Styela clava: one gene and its partner. The protein of the gene in region 1 interacts with the protein of each later gene in a pairwise test. Links are inferred from orthologs where the notes say so. Each region holds a gene or a part of one and is shown in the gene's direction. Other genes may lie near its edges. The genes, in order: U6 snRNA-associated Sm-like protein LSm8 and U6 snRNA-associated Sm-like protein LSm2.

Evidence for each region.
Region 2: the proteins of U6 snRNA-associated Sm-like protein LSm8 (region 1) and U6 snRNA-associated Sm-like protein LSm2 interact in a two-hybrid assay, tested with the Drosophila melanogaster proteins (2 studies listed by BioGRID). The link is inferred for Styela clava from reciprocal best matches to the Drosophila melanogaster genes CG2021 and CG10418.

The regions. Positions count from the first base shown.
Region 1 is NC_135263.1:8,561,555-8,567,735, reverse strand, and holds U6 snRNA-associated Sm-like protein LSm8, read left to right. Parts: upstream 1-4,086; 5' UTR 4,087-4,214; coding exon 4,215-4,245; intron 4,246-4,461; coding exon 4,462-4,630; intron 4,631-5,114; coding exon 5,115-5,205; 3' UTR 5,206-5,381; downstream 5,382-6,181. Other genes in the region: centrosomal protein of 89 kDa-like, read left to right, coding at 214-383, 882-978; transforming growth factor beta regulator 1-like, read right to left, coding at 1,807-2,751; N(6)-adenosine-methyltransferase catalytic subunit METTL3-like, read right to left, coding at 5,382-5,502, 5,582-5,694, 5,771-5,836, 6,026-6,134.
Region 2 is NC_135250.1:9,209,806-9,216,482, forward strand, and holds U6 snRNA-associated Sm-like protein LSm2, read left to right. Parts: upstream 1-4,549; 5' UTR 4,550-4,688; coding exon 4,689-4,976; 3' UTR 4,977-6,074; downstream 6,075-6,677. Other genes in the region: protein D2-like, read left to right, coding at 651-667, 749-778, 1,182-1,559, 1,699-1,877; ufm1-specific protease 1-like, read left to right, coding at 6,130-6,677.

The DNA.
Region 1 (6,181 bases):
CCAGCTTTTATGAATAATATTTAATGTTGAAGAAAGACAAGATTTAAAAATTAGATTGGAAGTCTTTTAAAGTTTCCATATTACTGTAATGACTCCATTGATGAATGCACATTGTATGTCAGTTTCCACTTGATAATCGTATAGAACATTTAAATTCGAAGCCCAACCATTCAATAATTGATTAAGCCTTATAACTCATCTTTTACCAATTAGCAATACAAAAAGCAAGCTTCTAATCAGATGAACAATATTACGGACAAGATTAGAGGTTTAGAAGAAAGTCATCAAGGAAGATTGCAAGAATATCACAGAGAAATGTCACATCTAAGAAGATTGTTACAACAAAAACAAGCAATGTTGGATGATGTTACCCATGAAAAGAGGTGAATTGTGATTTGAAAGCTCGTTCTGGTTGATCATTGAGAAACTTTCTTTTCCAATGTACAAATTAAGATTACGGGGTACACGAGGCAGGGTGCGCTTTTATGGCCATGCTCATCCTGGTATAGTTTCTCCTATTTATCCTGGCACTGAGGAAAAGCTGGTAAGGTAATTAAATAATCATATGACAAAACACAGCCTCTCATCTGGTTACCAGTCCATGTCGAGTATGGTAGTAGTCGACCAGTAATTTGTTTCAGATTACGGACTTGATGGTGGACGGGTCCACGCTGGGTAATTAGAGGTGCTATTCAAGTGTATTTCTAACACATAGTACAATGCCAACCGCGGAGCCAAATACTGAATAATGTGGAAATACAAATGTAGAATATATAATTTGAATGTTTTCTCTTCTTGATGCTAATTCAGCCTGATTGTACTTTGCTTCTTAACCTAAATGTGGTTCATTCTTGTAGTTGAACCTTTATTTGAACTTACAGATTGATGGAAAATGAATTGGAAAATGTATGGCAAGCAGCAACATCTGAGAATCGTAGAATTATGGATTCATTTTACAAAAGTAAAGTTCTGGACTGAAATCTTCATCATATATATTTTTTTACTTTTCATGCAGTACTTTTTTTTAACATTACACATCACTGGGGTTTTCTTACCATTTTTAAAGTAGCAAAATCTATTTGGCGTATTCGCAAAATCTATATTCATTCAAATACTTTTTCATATTCCCAAAGTTGCACATGCTGTAGTCATGCACTTACTCCTTGCCTGGAATCGTGAAATAAATAAAATGGCTTGTAATTAAATTCATAAATCCTCAATGTTGTGTCGAAATATTTCCCACATAGCGAATATCCAACCAATATAGTGATAGATGATGCTTATTTGGTTTTTTAAATTTTCAAACTTCTTGCTGCAGTATGAGATTTTATATTTTAATACTGTGAATAGTTTAAATATTTGTATTTGCACTGACACTTTCGTTTATATTAAATATTGCTCTAATTTGTTTTCTAGAAAACATGCTTTTATTATCTGTATATTGAATCATTCATTATTGACTTCCAACACAATAGGCGCATTTTTTAGTCTACAGTCCCACGACTATATGAAAGTACAAAATGTTCAGGTCAATTTTATTTTAGAATTGTGCAAAAAAGTAAAAAAAAGTGGTGTGGTGAAAGTTTGAGCAGAGAGTTGTAGTCAACAGTAATTTGTACAGCCTTGTAAAATTATTAGCTGTCACCCCACAACACAGAGGACTGCTATTAAGAGCAAAATTTGAAACTGCCTGCAATATTTTATAGCGACATAAAGAATGTATGCTATTCTTCCTCATTTGTCAAATATTTTCACAAATGTTTTCGACAAAACGGAAACCAATAAAGATTAAAAAACTATTTTATGCTATGACAAATCCCTTGCCCATTTCTCCAAAGCCTCTATATTAATATCAGATTGTCTTGATCTGCTTTTCCCAGTTTTCACCAAATCAGCGTTAAGGTTTTGATGACCAGCGACAGCCTGAGATGATTTGGCAGGTCGCACTACTTCAAATTTTTTCCATTCATACCCCGAGCATTCACTTGCACCAGGCAAACTTTGAATAAGGTTTTGTATAATGGGATGAGAAAGTCCGAAGAAATCATACTCACTCAAAGTGAGATTGTCAGGATTTTGAGGAGCAGCAGCTAACAAAAAAGAAGCGTAAACTTCTGATATTGATTGGCTTAAGAATGTTATTTCTGGTGCATCTTCCGGAGATATCTCAAATCTTGGACTTATGCTGTCATCAAATATTTTACATGTGTACAGACACTCGCTTTCTGGAGAAGAAATGCTGTTAAAAGATCTCGTTGAACAATAACCAACAGGGAAGATGAATTTTCTGTTATGATAATTGGGTCGATCATGAACGATTTCACCTATACTGTACACAGATAAATCCCCAATCTCAATGGGAAAAATTGGCCGGCCATTATTATCCACTTGAATAGGGTTCACCATTGTACATTTTGCTTTTTGTTGACCTGTTTTCGTTGTACCTTCACCAAATGTTTTTGAAGATTTTTTTACTTTTGTGTTTGCTGTTTTCTGAGATTTATTTCCCTTGGATGATTTCAAAGAATTAAGATTTGGTTTTTCATATTGCATAAGCTTTTTTAAAAGATATTTCCTTTCGGCTTTCACAGTGGAAATCTTGTCTTCAGTTCTTGCAATTTCTTCACACAAAGCACCATTCTGGTGCACAATTTCTATCACTGTTTTTCTCAATCGTTTGTACTTTTTTCGGTAATACTCATCATTTTTTTTAGTAGAATCACCCACATTTTCACTCATAATTTTATCCATGTCTTGATGAATAAAATAGAAAATATGTTATTAATTACTAAATTCAGAAAAAGGTATGATTTTCAGGGTCTCGTGTAGTTTCGTACTTCTAGTGGGCATAGCATAACGATTTATGCACATGTCAATCTTAACCCCCACCAAACTCAGCCATCCAAAAATTATGTCACAATCATGTCATAGAGCTTGCCAAAGTATACCTACGATCGCCCAAAATGGTATCTGCGCCAACGATAAAGAAATCAGCGATCGCTCTCATATAGTTATATCGGGATCGATGCGACGAGATAAATGGCTTGCTCGATTTCGGGTGATCGTTTGTGTGTCATAATTTTCAGATGACATAGTCAGGTGTGGTTCAAAAATGACTACCGGTACCGTATGCCACGCCAACTAGAAGCACTTGACGGCGTTTAATGAACTAGTGCCGAAGATTCTATATTAAGACTGCATTCCATCCATAGAAATCTGCACCACTTTTTAATTCACATCCACACAATGTTGCAATGCATTCGGACTTTCACTGATTACAGAACGCTGAAAATACCAACCCAACAAAACAAGGCGAGCTAACAACAGACCAACATCTGCAAAATGATTTTATGTTTATTTTCGGTATGTAATTTGACCTTTTAAACACGGGTCACCACGCACGATAGACGCTTTCCGTAATATCAAAATATGTTATTTCACATAGATATATCTGAATTTGCACAATATTATTTATAATGAATACTATATATATCTAGGCATATTGTTCACCTCCAGCAACATTGCCAAAGTATGGACCTTTCCCCGACTTTTAACCCCTGGAAAATTCTTCCTATACTTTACCATTGCAAAATTTCCGAGGCTATTTTAGGAGTGCTTTTGCGAGTTGGCGCTTGTAAAATGGAGTAGGTGTTTTAAACCATCATTATGATTCATCGCATACAACGATTTGTTTTTTTAAAGTACCGGTAAAGAATTTCAGGCTAGTCTATCACAGCTATTTCTAAACTAATTTTTATTACTGCAATTTAATTAAAACTCCTAGGAAGACAGAGTGATCATTGAATTATCTGATTTATATTTAAGTTTCCGAAACACAACTGAAAACTAACGAATAGAGTTCAAAAACGCGAAAACGAGGTAATGTTTACAACCGCGCTTGAAAATCTGTCTGAGTGAGAAAAGTGTCTGAGCGAATGCGAAAAGGGGGCATTGTTACGTCACTTTTTGCATCTTGCTGATTGGCCAATGTCACAAAGTAAACAAGGAAGTCGATGCTCGGGGAAAGGTCCATTCCTCAGGTGGGCATCAAATTTCGTTTCGTGTAAAATAAATCTCTCTCCCTCTCACAGGCCACTACAGTATATCGAAATCGTGCGTTTCGGTGCTACAGTCAGACAGTGTGGCGCGTTGTGTGAATCTTCTAGCCGAGCAATCCTATTTCGACTGATCTGAGCACATTGGACAGCGGCGTCATGGCGATGGCGCTTGAGCCTCTTGTGAATCGTATCCTTTGAAAATGCAATTGAATAGAAGATCATAAAACATTTCAATCGTCAAGATAGCTTTACAGTGACAAAAGTCACTTAACTTTATATGTATTTCGATAGACAGTTCGTTTTGTTTAGATCTTCAGTTTTAATTAGTACGGTATGTATAAGTGCCAGGAATATATAGTTCAAGGTAATTCTGTAAAAATTTTCCTTAATACAAACTTATTAGATGTTGTGTCTGTGATCACTGGCGATGGAAGAATGATAGTTGGAACTTTGAAGGGATTTGATCAGACTGTCAACATTATTCTTGATGAGAGTCATGAAAGAGTGTTTTCATCATCACAAGGTGTCGAACAAGTCATGCTTGGACTATACATTATTCGAGGAGACAATGTGTGAGTTGCTTTACTATGTAATCTGCAAATACTTGTATAAGAAATATATAAATCTAAATTATTTTTACCAACGTGCCCTTTCGAGTACAACTAGCCTTTTATTCATTGGGAAGGTCCTATTCAGATCTGCATTGAAAAGCGAAGCCAATATTATTTAATATTTGCAAGCGTTTCAAGCCCTTTTTTTATCCAAGTTTGAACAGGAATCTAAATAATATTTTAGAACGAGAGATCATTTGGTATTTACAATTTTCATATATAGGTAGAGGAATTATTGGTTGTATGAACTTATTTGCTGCCAAGTCGTCTTCAGAGCAAAATCATGACTAGAAAAGTATTGTGATTTTCATGCAAATATTACTGCTACTTAAAAACTAATTTTAGCAGCCATTGCATCAATTTCAGTTCAGTTGGATATTTATGGGCAGTTTCTTCTAATATCCTTCCACTATACATGTATTAAAACCAAGCTCACTTTTTGCAGTGCTCTCGTCGGAGAAATAGACGATGCTACAGACTCCTCACTGGACCTGGCAAACATAAAAGCTGCACCTTTGAATGCTGTTGTTCATTGACAAAACCTAAAAGGGATCCAGACCATAGATGGATTGCTGCTGTATTAGATAAATTCTTTCCTCCACCTCCGCATAATTCTGATCTTGATCATAAAGAACATCTGTGATTGCGGAAATTCTAATGAACTGAAATCTATAGGCAGTGCGTTTATTTTTTATTATTTTTAAATAAAGTGTCAATTAGAAGATTTGGTTGCAGGCTTTGTGACTTTCCCATCTGGATACTTCTGCTTAAATTTTCCAACAACGTCTGGTTCGACCAAGTGCACTCCATCGAGTTGGTTTCCCAGTGTTACCCTGTAGCAAGAACAGATAATAAAGATCATACAGTTTAGAAATGCTTATAAAGAAAGGTGCATGCATCGAGGATAATTACCAGTTTGGCTGTACATTGTGCATCCTGCCGAATAATTCCAATTTTCTTGTGCCAGGAGAAAGCCTTTCTATAATACCATAGATTTCATCTGGTTTGTGACTGGTGTCTCTTACCTACAACGAATATAAAGATATAATTGTAACCTTCAAACATATTGCCGAGTTCTGTTTTAAAGAATTGCAAATTTACCTCTGCCACAAGTACATCACAGTCCAACCCTGTATTGATGCCTTTAGGGTTTCCTTTTATGCCGACCTGCAGGAAGAAAAATTTTAAAAATAAAATACCTTGAAGAAAAAACGTTTAATAGACTCAAATCAGAAAAAAATTCAGCAGTCATATTTGATAACGGGTTTTATATGAAATCACAGGCAGATATTCCAACACCGAGTTTTACACAAGCAGAAGTTGCTTGGACTTTTACGCTCTGCGCTGAAGACATACCAGACAATGCTCTTTTCCGTGATTTATCCAATGACCTGTTCTTCCAGTTCGTATTAATCTTTGAAGTTGATTGGTTTTTACCCAAATGAGTTCATCACATCTCTGGTATCTGTACAATTATGAATCTAATTTTATTTGGATCACCATTTTTAAAAG
Region 2 (6,677 bases), on another chromosome or scaffold:
CGCAGGTTCGAATCCCATGCAGGGATGGTTATGTGCGAGAGGATTGCTGGACTCCTCGCCGTCATTGGGTGGTTCACGTAACCGCTGGTCGGTTACGGCTTCCTCCACCACCAAGTCCATGATTCCGAAAACAAACAATACAGTAAAACTAATCCCATACCCGACTTGGAATGGTAACCGGACGAGAGGCCGTGGTTCGCCATATGGTTAAGCCGTCTTATCGGCTTTCCTCTCCCCCGGGATAAATATGTAAATCCTATCCTATCCTATGTTTATTGACTTGGCTGTATATGTACGTTAGTGGCTGTATATGTATATTACGTTACCCGTCATATCGATTTATATTCATTGACTTATTTAATTTTGCGTAATTTCAGATATCAAAAAAATGTGATTATTGTAAATCTGCTGCAACAGGAAATTATAGTCTGGCATTTTGTATATGCACAAGAATGCATAGAAATAAAAACATATTTCACTGTTGCAAATAACAGAACACAAGAGTCAATTACATATGTTCGTTTATATTTAAAATTTATATTTATTTGGGTTTCGAAATGTAAACAGTCATTTTTATAAGAATTGCAGAAAAAGCAACCATTTTGTTCACGCATTTGTACTAAATAATTATATTTCTTATATTTTTACAGTTGCTACGGACATGAATGTGAGTATATTAGATAATTTGTTAACTTAATTTATTAACTGATGGATAGTTCATCTATTTATTGATTGATTTTATTAACAGCTTGGATGTCAGATATGTTTATCAATGATTGTAAGTTGGTAAAATTGTGTTTGTAGTTCATTGTTCTCCAATCTGAAATTTGAGACAATTATTGGATCATTATCTTTACATTTCCTAAGCAATGGTGTTGTGATAGCGCACTTGAATTAATGAATTTCAACACACTGATAATTCACTTTTAAAGTGACTTACCTATACTGTATAAAAATATTAATTCGTCGCGTGATATTTGTATTGATATTAAAATATGAGTAGTAATGTAGTATTTGAATAGTTTTTCATTAGAGGAGTAATTGCTTTACATTTATTCAAACAAAAATCATTAACCATGGTAGCACTGAAAATTGTAGAAACTTAAATAATAGGAAATGTATAATGCATTACATTGCGTTGATTTAGAGCAACATTAAGTTCTCTCCATTTTTCAATTTAGTTATCGGTGATGATTTTTCCCAAGTACTTGCGGAAACTGATACATTCAGCCAAGATTGGATACAGCATGATCTAAAATCTGATTTAAATCTTAATACACCATGCGAGCAGACAGAAGTGTCTTTTGGAAGCATAGATGTCAAAAAAGGGGGAACGAAATTGACACCAACACAAGTAAAGTTTGCACCTACAGTCAAATGGACTGCGGAGAAAGATCAATTTTATACCCTGTTAATGATGGACCTAGATGCTCCTAGTCGGAAAAATCCAACATTTCGCGAATGGTTTCACTGGGGCGTCATCAATATCCCAGAGAATAACGTAAACGAAGGAGAAGTAATCACCACATACATGGGATCTACGCCTCCCAAAGGAACAGGTATTATCCATAGATATGATTCTCCATAGTGAGATTAAATAAACTTCTTTTGCATAAATACTGCAGTATTTTTGGAAAAATTTTGAACATAGAACAGCTAAAAATCATATTTTAATTATATATATTGTGTCACTTTTAGGCCCACACCGTTACGTCATATTAGTTTTCCAACAATCGGACAAAATAAAGTTTATGGACGAGAAAATAGGCCCAAATGGCGGATTCAGAGGTGGCCAAAGTGCAAAGAAGATAGCCGAAAAATACGGCCTCGGATCACCAGTAGCTGGCACATGGTTTGAAGCTGAATGGGAAGGATAGAATCTACTACAGTTGCACTTGTATAGTTAGTTCGAAAAGAGGCTGAGAAAGTTTTAATTGGTTCTGGTCTTCGTAGCTATAAAATTTTTGTAGTACTTAAACAACACATGGTGTATTATTATTGATTCTATCGCGCAGATAGCAAAACATATTACAAAGCTTCCACCATTGTTGAAAATTGCCGAAAATTTACATAGCCTACTTTTTCAAATAGTTTAAAGATATTTTTGGTGTGTATAATAAATATATCTAACACGATTTTGCATGGGTGCAAATGTTCGTGATTAGAAATGTATCTGGGTGCAAACGTGCGTAATTTGTATGGGGGTGCTAAAATCTAAGGTGCAAATGTATGGGTACAATTGCCCATGGGTGCGGAATTGTGCGGCAGTAAAGAAAGGCACAAAACATTTTATTCTTTTATTTGTTTTATTCTCAACTCTCCAATGAAGGCCGGGAACACGTCACAAATCGGTCGATACAAAGAAGCATTGCTACGACTCGTTGCTTGTTGTGATAAATCATAATCAGGAAATAGAGAAAATTACCTATTCATTGAATTTACACATAATTAATAAAAAGTATTGATTGAGGCGATAAATCTTAGTTACATTCCCCATTCGCTGAATTTGTTTTCAATTCCCAACATTGTGTAACCATAAATACCTTTGCATGCAGTCGATACGATATATATACTGGAGATACGGTGGATATCAATAGTAGCTTACAACTTTTATATAAAAACACAATAGCTTTCAATAGTTATATCCATAGATCACAAAGTTTGGTTCTGCCAACTCAATATCTTAGATTTGATTTTTTGAACAGCTTTTCAAATGAAAATGTTCGTGGTATTTTACTCAATGACAAAGTAAGATTGATCATAACAGTTTCATTGTTTTTTGAACACGCTTTTCACAAATATATTTCGCATTTGTATCGCACCGGATATCGTTTATGTTTCGGTTTTTTGAAAGTAAGAAGAGCGATTTGTCCTCTATTGATCTAGGTAGGTGCTTTGGTCGTTTGCGCGAACCGTAAATAGTTTACTTTGTTATCGTGTTTAGCTTATAAATGAGGCCAGATAGCAATTATTCGAATTAAAAATATATATATTAATACAAACATACATGACAAAAAGTTCACACGTGGTAAGGTCAGAAAAGAGCAATTGTAACTATTTTAAGTCCAATGCTTTCGTTTCCTGGTTGGTGTTTTGAAATTAAGAAAAAGCAATTCGTCTTCTACTGATAACCCTTCAGGTCGTTTGCGCGAATCCACAAAGTAATTCAGTCTTGTTATCACCAGAGCTAGCAAACATTGAAAGGTCGACGCGTGAAAAACTTTCACCTAAATGTCTGATGCATTTTTTTTTCAAATTTAATGTATTTGTTAAGAGGCTTCTTTCTACTTTTCGATCGTGGTCTTCTGGCATATGAATTTTCATTTTCTGAAAATTGTTTCGAATTAGTCATTCATTTTATATGCTGTTGCACCTCAATGAGTTCTGTTTTTTTTTGTCAAATATTCCCAGAGATTAAATAGGATATGTTTGACAAAGCGTTACAAATAATAAAAACGAACATAATATCGTAACACGTCATAAGCAGAAAATCATATTAACATAATACACCAACTATGTACGTCGTACGGATAGAAACTTACATCTAAATATTTGAATCTGTGTTTTAATACCCCGAGAAAATGAATTTATTTGTTATTGATGTTAATAAAAACATGTTTCTGAAAACTTGGTTTCTACGAAATTCATTATTAGAAAATTGGGAAAAATTAACTTTGTTCTCATAAATTTACATCAAATTAGGGTAAATCGTTTATTTGTTGTTGCTATATATTTTCCCATTATTCTGTTATTGTAAGGTTTTTTATATTCTTCTTCAAATTTTCTGTTGATTTCATATAAAAATGTTATTATGATGTCGAGTGTTGAGTCGAGCATCTACCGGAGACTGATTTTATTTTTATGTTTATTGCCGTTTAGTTTATTATTTATTTTATAAACCTCTTGCTGCTAACAGCGTTTGTAAATTTTTTAGAGTAATCTTTCTTGAAATATACGCACATACATTGCAAGAAAGAAAATCATGCATTTTTGCGTTTATTGTTTCTATAATAAAATTTTAATTTTTTACATTTCGTAGGACGTACAACGCGCTGACTGTTGAGTCGTGTAAACTGTAAATGACACCCGAGTTAGATAGTTTGTTTGTTGTGTGACGAAGAGTCTTCATACCGGTACATATTTCTTCATCATAATTATCAAGTTAACGTCTTAATTGATATTACGCATACCGGCGTATCGTTACTTTTGATCCGGTTAACCGACAGAATTTCAGTTCCGGATTATCCAACAACCACGATGAAGCGCCAGAAAATGCCTACAGTGATAGAAATATAGACCTTGTCTGTTAATGTACCAATATTTAAACTTATTTAGCTATGGTGGGCTGGTGTGATTGGTGCTGTAGTGAGATAGTATATCTGTATATGATATACGAATACCAATGACTTGGATGAATATTACAAGTTGGAACCAGAATGCAAAATTTTTCACAGCTGCTGGGCTATCTGGCTATGGTCCGACTCCGAGGGAAGTTATCTATAAAACTGATATTTACTACAGTATTATCATATTTCTAATTTCAGAAATTACAGTTAGGCTAGACTACTTATATACTATATAAAAATCTTTGAACTGTTTATTTATTGACATACGGTAGCAAAGTGCTGCCTGGTCAGTAAGATAAACTTATTACAGTATTAATACAGAATCTCATTTTGATAGGAATCATGTTATTCTACTCATTTTTTAAATCACTTGTGGGAAAAGACGTTGTTGTGGAACTGAAGAATGATTTAAGTATATGTGGAACTTTACATTCAGTGGATCAATATCTGAATATCAAATTAACAGACATAAGTGTAACAGATCCAGAAAAATATCCACATATGTTATCTGTGAAAAATTGTTTTATAAGAGGGTCAGTTGTTCGATATGTGCAACTTCCAGCTGATGAGGTCGACACAACACTACTTCAAGACGCAGCAAGAAAAGAAGCTGCGCAAAGCAAACAATGAGAGACATTTATGGTGCAATTTAGTGTGAATGAAATTTAAACTAGCGCATTTCACATGATAGAATATTGCATACATTGAGAATGTCTCGAGTATTGACAAAATATCTCATTATCAATACTGAGTCAAATTATGGACAGTACTTACACTCATGAACTATCTGTTCCAAAGTTATTAATATATTGAAAATCGATGCTCTATGTTGCAGTATCACTATTTGAAAATTATGCTATCTAAAATTTGTCTTATTTCTCACCACTGAGACGAGACAAAAAAATGACCAAACTTGAATTTTAGTTATGTGAACAATAAATATTCTGCTATTTACATTACCTAAAGCATATGCCAGTGTGGCATAAAATAGGGATGGCGATGTGGTTTTATTTATTGTCTTTCTTGTTTCACTAAACCCGGAAAAATTGGTCAGGAATTTTTTGAAGAATATTTCCTGAACTCCAAATTTAGTAGCAGTTTTGAAGTGTATTTATCTCTGAGAAAATAAAATCATGAATTTGCATCACAATTCTGTCATAGTATCCTACAATGTTCACATAAATTGACATCTCAGTGTTTGATTCATACCAAGTTCAGAAAGCAGTGAATATCTTGCAACAAATATGTCTGGCGTTAAGAGCCTCATTATTTTAATTCACCATTGTAATTGGTAAAAGGTGAATAAGAGCATAGTCAAAATCTAAATGTATGTTTTGTATCTCAAAATACAGTTATCAAAATCTATTTTATCGGTTGAAATTTCAGGGAGAATTCATTAACATATTCAATCGAAAATTTATGACATGATTAGAAGGTAATTTTTGATAGTCAATACAAAGCTGATTGCTCTATCTTCTTGATATACATTACTGTGACCCAAAAATTCATTGCAGTTTTTCATTATCTCTTTCCACCAATAAGAATCATGTTTTTACCATTTATGCTGCTTTTATCTGGCATGTTTTGCATCAACCTACACTGACAAATTGATGAATTTTTTTGGTTTTGTATGTTAGTGATTGTTGCCATTTCATCCACATGAACCATATTTCAATCATAACAATTTCGTGCCAATTTTCGTACCTAATACTGCTTTGAACTATTTAGGTCTTGTGATTTCATATTTTAGTATGCTGAATCTGATTGATAAATTTGAATAGCCATGAGCATGTCACCGGTCAAATCAACAAAATTCCCTGATGAATTACCCCATGATATCCACCGTGATTTATTGAATGAGTCTTTGGAGAATTGTAAAGTTGAAGCGGTCAAAGGCACATATGCGTATTATCATTATTTATGTGATGGAGTAGACGACAGAGGATGGGGTTGTGGTTACAGAACTCTACAGACTATGTGCAGTTGGATACATTATCATAAACAGAAAAACAGGACAAAAAGTAAAAATGAAACCACAAACAATGACAAAATTTATGATAAAATTACAGGACATGTACCATCTATATCAGAGGTTCAGCATGCATTGGTTTCAATGGGTGATAAGGAGCATTCATTTATGGGGTCAAAAGAGTGGATTGGTTCTTTCGAAATATCAATATGCATAGATTATGTGTATGACGTACCCTGTAGAATTGTGCATGTTCCCCAAGGGCAACTTGTGAATCACATACAAAGTATAAACGAACATTTTCAAAAGTATGGCAGTCCTATTATGATGGGTGGAGATAATGATAATTCGTCGAAGGGTAT